Bombyx mori: one gene and its partner. The protein of the gene in region 2 purifies or fractionates together with the protein of the main gene of each other region. This does not show direct contact. Links are inferred from orthologs where the notes say so. Each region holds a gene or a part of one and is shown on either strand. Other genes may lie near its edges.

Region 1 (4,213 bases), on a different chromosome or scaffold from region 2:
TGAAATTTGTGCTTCTTGTATTGAATTATTTACAAACTTAATAGTAGCAAAGGTAATTTATTTATCGATTTAAAAAATTAATTATAAATATCAAACTCAGAAATCACACAACACTGATGTGACTATCCAAAACATTTAAAGTATAACTTTGCAAATATCACAATTAAAAGACATTGTTTCTGTCTCAGTTAAATGTTGTCAGTCAAGAAACGTACCTGTTTAGCTGCTTGGCCTTTCCCGAATACACGAGGCACAATTCCATAAAACTGTTGGATGGTTCTTAGTGCCTGTGCAGCATTGTATATGCAACTTGTGTCACCTTCTATGTAATTTTCTCTGCAAATTATTTCAATGTTACACATCAACATGCATTAGTTTTGTATTTAAGCCACTTCAAACTTTTCATTGCAGAAATTTAAACAATGTTGTACAATAATTACTTAAAAAAAAGTTAACTTGTACAATCATGTTATAGAAGCATTTATAACTAACTGTAACTTTAATCTTATCGCAGCCTAAAGGATAAGGCAACAGGTGCATTCGTATCGAGCAATGTGACTGAATTCTACAGGCATTATTTTTCTAATGAATATGTACTTAATAATAAATATATATAAAAAATTAACAAATAAAAAAAGTCTTTTATTTCATGCAAGTGACTTATAAAATCAAAATTAAATCAATGGATCTATGTGATTAATTAACTAACAATTATGTTTGTTGAATAATACTAGGTATTATTGCTACTTCCATGAACCCCCCCTCGGGTAAAGGCCTCCTCCAAGTATGTATTTAATAAATGTTCACAAATGATTTCCACAGTGAGCACTGATATAGTAACATTACTTACTATGAGTAAACCCGTCACTTTATCATTTGGGACGTAACTATATCATCAAAAGGATATTGAAAAATTTACTTCCATCTTTAAAGATTTTAAAATTAACATAATATAGCAAATATACTGACCGGAAGTCATTTTGTAGTTCTAAAGACATGACATCACTTTCGAATGGAATGATGTCACACTTAAACTCTTCAATTGTCATGTTACTGACCACTCCTCTATTGGTGAGATGTACTTTGCACAGTTCACTTTTGCGTGGCACAAAGAACAAGTGAAATTCTACTGGAGCTGTTTGCTTGGCCCTGTATATTGAGTAATATATTCGAATTTAAATTTTAGTTGGTTTCTGTTATTGTTGGTATAGACCAGGGGTGGGCAAATATTTTGATAGTAAGGTCACATTGCAGATGAAAATTTGACCGCGGGCCAAACAGTTTTTTTTTTCAAATTTTACTTAAAAACTAATTGCTTATATGTGTGGACGAGCTCACAGCCGACCTGGTGTTAAGTGGTTACTGGACACAGTGGTTAATGCGCCACATACCTTGAGATATAAGTTCTAAGGTCTCAGTATAGTCACAACGGCTGCCCTACCCTCCAAACCGAAACGCATTACTGCTTCACGGCAGAAATAGAAATAAATAATATTTGTGTTTTTAATAATAATATATATAAAGCTTCACGGGTCAGACAAAATTCTACCGCCGCCATTTGCCCCGGCCTGGTATATATCACTGGACTATATCAATCTATACTAGATTTATTTACCTATGCTTTTTTGTAACTTTACTTAATATGAATAAGTACTCGATTAATAACTTTAGAAACTTTGATCCTTGTAAAACTGTACTATTTTAAATTGCACCTTAATTGTTATATTTTCACACAACAGGCTCAATCCAGATACTATCTAAAATTTTGTAACAGGAAAATAAGTAAATGAATTATAAAGCACGCTCGGCAAATATGATAGCGAGAAATTAATTAATATTGATATTCATTAACATACAATGTTAACAATTTATACTCTAATCATCACTTACAAAACAAAAAATAACTACACAAATTCAGTACCTTATTGATAAAATGTAATCAGCAACCAAATCCATCAATGAAAGTTTGGGTCTACTAATAAATATAATATGTTTGACGGTTATATTGGGTAGGCTTCCTGGTTTCAGAAGAAACATATTGTTGACTTCATGGTCTTTAAGGAATGAGTACTGAGCAACAAGGCCTACAGGCCCAGCTAGCCAGTCATCCCAAATTGTTACCTGAAAATTAAGATTTTTTTAAATTATTTATTAGAGCCATACACTTATTAAGTTAAGTCGGCTTTTAAAATTAAGAATCAATAATATAAATTTTACTCTCTCTATGAGTAAGCTCTCAGACGTGTCAAAAGCCAATAGTAACTTAACCAGTTTCTAAAAAAATACTTAACAGAGTGGAACTGAAGGTAACGTTCAAACATGACAAGTAAAAACAACAATTTATTCTTCAGTACGAGTTGATTTCTTCTATCGGAGGCGTTTTTAAATTTGAACAATATTAATTTCGAATAAGTCAGTGGCCAGTAGCATTTATAAACAAATAATTTTTTACACCTGTTACAGTAAGTTAAATATAGATTTAGAGCTATTGTAACTTCGGATAATAAATAAATGGTAAGTTGTGAAACATCATAGTATGTTTATAAACTTACTTTAGGGCCACTGTACTGTTGTAATAAATTTAATAATTCTGTTCTCATTGTTTCTTGAAGTAAAGCAACATTCAGTCGTCCACCCGCAAGGTGGCTGCTCATTTTAGTTTCTCTCATTTTTGTTAAGCAGCCTTTTTAACAGATGTATTTAATAATTGTTATTTGTTGACTGTTTTTCTTTCAACACATAAATGAATTTATCATAGATACAACTTTATCATTGATACAAATTTATGTTTTTATCATGTTTTTATTGACTACATTTTGAGTTGACATTTGAAGGCAAAGCGACACTTGACAGTTTCAATTCCAACTGAAAAGGCAAATGTATCAAACTATACAGGCCAATATTTTGTGTATTTTGTTGAATAATAAAAAAAATGCAAAATGAATGAAATATGAGACACTGATCGATTACGGCGAGACGAAATTACACGAGATAAAATATAGACTCAGTAAAATTTTGCTTATTTATTACAAAATTTCACTGGATTTTTGGAAGATCTTGCCCAGCGGTTTTGTTTCATTTTCTTACATTTGTGCATTTTCACAGATACTAAGTAGATAACAAATCATTGTTTTTACAATTCAAACCTAAAGAAGGACTATATTGACAAATTAAAACAATTCACACAACTTCGCTCCTCGCATTCCCGTCGAAAAATCCTGACATGTGATAGTTTTGTTCAGAGTTATACAGATTATGCGATAATTTTTTTTGTGAGCCGGGGCTGAGCCCCTATGAGGTCCCCGCGCCTAGAGGGTGTGCGGGGTATCTAGGACCGCATTGGACTGCGGGCCCAAGGTATAGAATTTAGGGGCCTATCCACTTTACAACTTCCCTAAACTCTCGCCCAATTGCCTGATGCCCCCTGAGGTCAGATCCGGGTGAAGTATAGGGGCTACCGCAGTCAATGAATACTTCAATCAGACAATTATTTATTGGTAGTAGGACCTCTTGTGAGTCCGCGCGGGAAGGTACTATCACCCTGCCTATTTCTGGCGTGAAGCAGTAAAGCGTTTCGGTTTGAAAGGTAGGGCAGCCGTTGTAATCATACTTGAGACCTTAGAACTTATATCTCAAGGTGCGTGGCTCATTTACGTTGTAGATGTCTTTGGGCTCCAGTAACCACTTAACACCAGGTGGGCTGTGAGCTCGTCCACCCATCTTCGTTGCCCCGTGACCTTCACCTACAGGGGCCGGGCCGTACGATCACATTCTTACCTCCGATCTCAGTTTTGTATACTGTTGGAACAGCGCCCCTAGCGGCAAACGTAGGCAAGCGTTTCAACTCCATACAGATTTGAGTTAACCTTTATGCTATCGAGAACGGTAAAAAACTGGCACTAAGCGTACAGATATCAAATTATAATAGCAAATGAATAGATAATGCATTCGAATTCAAGCACAGAACCATTTATTTCAGTTTTGTGTTATGTCTAGTAATTTTCAGATAGCAAGCACATTATATTTGGTGGCATTTTAATGGAAATTTCATTCATTGCTTCGAGACTTAGAAAAAAAAACTTTGGTAACAAGAATGTTAGTGGATACACCGGTATCCATGACAATCAGAAAATAATTAAATTGAAAACTGGGAATCTGATCTAAGAAGTTATCTAACATTTCATTCCGTCCATCCATCCATTCAAATTATAAC
Region 2 (4,095 bases):
CTTGTGGCCTGGTATAGCCTCGTTACCTTTAGGCCAAATTATGACAATTCTGGTGATGCTATTATTGCCAATGTCTATAAAAAATTTAAATGTTAAGTTTATAAAAATCTTCAATTAAAAAATAGATACATATTCTGATAAATGGAAAATGAAATGATGAAAAAATGAATTAAATTTGCTTTATTTGAAACTGTAATTAATTGGGATGAAATTAATTAACACGAAAAGAGAAGAGATGAAATAAAAACTCAGTAAAATAGTGGTTATAAGACTATTTTATCTGATCAATGAGAATTCAGTGGACCTTTTGGAAGAACGTGAGACAACGTCCAGCAAGTTACCATTATTATCGTTTATGCTTACAGAAACATTTTTAAATAATACAATTCACACAACCTCGCACCTTACGTATCGCTAAAAAGCTAATTAGATTCGAACCAAATAATATTGACGGATCTTATATATTCTGTTGATAGCGGTAAATACACATTTCATACTTTTCTAATACATATATAAATATATAAGTTAGACAACCAAATGATTTTTTAAATCTTGATAGGCTCGCTATGAGCGATGCTAGGTGAATTGTTTTATTTGTTTATTTAGTGTTCCTCTAAGGTTAAATGAATTACAATAGCGACTTAAAAACCATTTAGCATTTACGAAAATACATGCAATATATGTGCTGTAAGAGGTAATTTCCGGTTCTTCCATGAATTGATGTACTCATGTTATATTATTATCTACTTCATATAATTATGGAGCTGAATGATGCTACCATTGTGAACTTCTTTGGATTGGATTTTTCTGCTGGGTCTAATCCACTTAAAAGGATTAATTAAAGTCTAGTCTAAGTCTTTTGATTTTGTTATTTAATATTTGATTACGATGGTGGAACGGAACGGTGGTTTAATAGCTGTTTAGGATCTGTAAAAATGCACAAAAATGCGGGAAAATAAAAAAAAAACACTGAAATAAAAAAAAGACGAAGCATGTACTAAAAAGTCCACTAACATAATCTCAGTAAAGAAACTCCCATTTTACTACGACTATAATTCATCCCATCTGAATTCGATTTCTGTAATTTCATCCCAATCCATTACAGTATTAAATAAATCAATTTCACATCATTTCACCTATATTCTTTTTTTTTCATAACATTTTTAGATAACAGAATATATGTCATGTATAAAAGATTACAGTGTATGGTAATCGCCTTAACCTTCGCCAAACCTGATGGAAAATGGGACTTCTACTATAAGCTATCGTTTCACAAACCGTGCAAGCCACAATAAAAAAAAAACTTGTTTTGTCAAATTCAGTTAAATGTCAAAATCAGAAAGACAATAATCAAATTCAGAAAAGTGCAGAACAGAACAAACGAAAGAAGAATTACGTTTTTATTATTAAAATGTGATTTTTTTAAACGGTTGAAATTCAAAACAATGGCTGTTAATATTGAGAGCTGCGAAAGCTTGCCTCCCGATGAGGAGCCGAAGCTAAAATACGATAGAATGGAAAATGATTTATTGAATATTTTACTGAAAGACGCTGTCAGTTGTATTTGTGTTCACACCAAATTCATCTGTATCGGAACACGTTGGGGTGTGATACACCTGCTAGATCACGAAGGTAACATAGTTGCTATATCCCAGGACGGGAAGACTGAATTCCAGGCTCATACTATCGCTGTCAACCAAATATCTGTAGACCAAAATGGGGATTACATAGCGAGTTGTTCAGACGATGGTAAAGTTGTCGTATATGGATTGTACAGTAATGATAACACGCACAACCTAAATTTAGGCAGGGCAGTGAAATCAGTTGCATTGGATCCTTGCTACTTCAAGTCAGGTTCAGGAAGAAGATTTCTTACAGGTAAAAAACGTTGTACTTAGTATGAATAGAATATTTAGGAAATCCTTTAAACCTCATAACCAAGTCTTATGTAAAAAACTAGTACATAAATAGTCAATAAAATATATAAATGTCGAATTTAAAATGAATTTATTCTGTAGTAATAATTAAATAATTGAGAACGAATTACACACATCTGGCCCCAGATAAGGATGTCCTGAATTATGAATGTTAATTGTAAATGAATTATGAATGTGGCTGCCCCACCCTTCAAACTGAAATGCATTACCGCTTCACGGCAGAAATAGGCAGGGTGGTGGTACCTACCCATGCGGACTCACAAGAGGTCCCACCACCAGTAAAAAAGACAAATCTGAAATTATTCAAAATGAATCTATTGAAAATGAATGAATCTATAAAAATATTCTGTAAATATATGGTAGGTATACAATATCACTGTTTAAAATGAAACTATAGTTAGATAAAAAAACACAACTACATTTATGCCAGGTCATTACACATTAACCATATAACTTGTGTATAAATCCACCTACTCTGCCTAGTAAATTTTTATTGACTTGAATACATTGACTTTTTGCATTAAAAGTGTACAATTTCCAAAAATATTCGAAATTGAGTTAATATGCTTAAATATTTGGTATCACCAGTATTTTTCTCATAAATACTGTCAAAAGAGTGTAGTTTAGTTTTAGTTTTTTTTAGTTTACCTATGATTTTACTACTATTAATAAAATCAATACATAATTTTATCTTACTTTATAAGACAGATAATGTAACTGATAATAAAAAAAAAAATGTTGCAAAGATGATTAATATTAAAAATATTACATGTTAAACCTTTAAAACACTCTCCTATAAAATTAGTTAGTTTTGAAATTATACAGTTTTAATGCGAGAAGAGGACATGTGTTCAAAAGATTATAAAACTTGAAGCATACATGTGATTCTAGAGCTGATCATACATGGCTTGAACGTACAACTTCACTTCATTAAACAATATAAATATAAACAACATTCAGATCATAATTCAAATCGTTTTATTTTTTCGCAACTTTGCTTGTAAATTATGAAAAGGCAAACTCGGGCAGAAATTTTGTGGATGTTCCCTTCCCTTTCCCTAAACTCACCCATAGTACGTAACTTATGCTTCCCTTAATCGTTTTGTCCTTTCTCTGCTTATGATGCATTCGTGATTTCCAGTGTTAAAGGAAGGAACTTCCATATTACGATGCCATTAAGACTATTAACTCATGTCTTGAGGTACGACGATAGTGACATCGTGACATAGTTTCCAGTAAACACTAAATTACCAAGTGAGTTATGAGTTTGTTTGCTCATCCAAAATTATAACATGTGTATTCTTCCAGGTGATCACAGATTGACACTATATGAAAAATCATTCCTTAATCGAATACGAACTACAGTATTACATGAATGCAAGGGAAACGTACAAGCCATGTCCTGGCAAGACAGGTTTGTAGCATGGGCAAGTGAAGTTGGGGTCCGTGTTTATGACCTAGTTGCTAAATGCTCTCTAGGTCTCATCCAATGGGAAAAGAACCTAAATAGATCTATTGAAGACTACCGCTGCAATCTTCTCTGGTCTGCTCCTAAGACTCTAATGATCGGCTGGGTTGATACCATCAGGATATGTGTCATTAGAAAGCGAAGTCAAATTGAATTACAGACTCGTGATGTCACAGAATACCTCGTGGATCCAATATATACCTACCAAATAGATTATTTTATAGGAGGTCTGGGCCCTTTGGACGATCTATTAGTTTTATTAGCCGTTCCAAAAGAATGCGATCCTAAAACCGGAAAGTCGCAAATGCCCGTTTTAATAGTGGCGAATTATAAAGGCTGCGAATTCTGCGAGATATCTTGGGAGACTTTAGACATAAGGGGCTACCAAGAATATAACTGTAATGATTACCATTTAGATATGCTTATAGAAGAAAACAGATTTTTTATTGTTTCCCCCAAAGACATTATCATAGCGAGCCCTTACGACATTGACGATAGAGTCACTTGGTTGACCCAACATAGAAGGTTCGAAAAAGCTATTGCCGTGTTGGAAGAGGTCGGTGGTAAAACTTCTAAGCACTCCGTGATGACGGTGGGCGTACAGTATTTAGATCACTTGCTCTCTGAACATCTTTATCAAGAGGCTGCCATTCTCTGTGCCAGAATATTTAAAAACGATAAAGTTTTATT

What was found. The genes of interacting proteins can lie anywhere in the genome.
Region 1: the proteins of vacuolar protein sorting-associated protein 41 homolog (region 2) and vacuolar protein sorting-associated protein 33A purify together in Homo sapiens (affinity purification with mass spectrometry; 5 studies listed by BioGRID and IntAct, counting the BioPlex papers as one, with this or other methods). This does not show direct contact. The link is inferred for Bombyx mori from reciprocal best matches to the Homo sapiens genes VPS41 and VPS33A.

What each region holds. Positions count from the first base shown.
Region 1 is NC_085122.1:6,404,470-6,408,682, reverse strand, and holds the start of vacuolar protein sorting-associated protein 33A, read right to left. Parts: upstream 2,850-4,213; 5' UTR 2,670-2,849; coding exon 2,553-2,669; intron 2,122-2,552; coding exon 1,922-2,121; intron 1,150-1,921; coding exon 970-1,149; intron 337-969; coding exon 216-336; intron 1-215.
Region 2 is NC_085123.1:777,650-781,744, forward strand, and holds the start of vacuolar protein sorting-associated protein 41 homolog, read left to right. Parts: upstream 1-1,220; 5' UTR 1,221-1,445; coding exon 1,446-1,878; intron 1,879-3,245; coding exon 3,246-4,095. UniProt on the Homo sapiens protein: Plays a role in vesicle-mediated protein trafficking to lysosomal compartments including the endocytic membrane transport and autophagic pathways. Acts as a component of the HOPS endosomal tethering complex.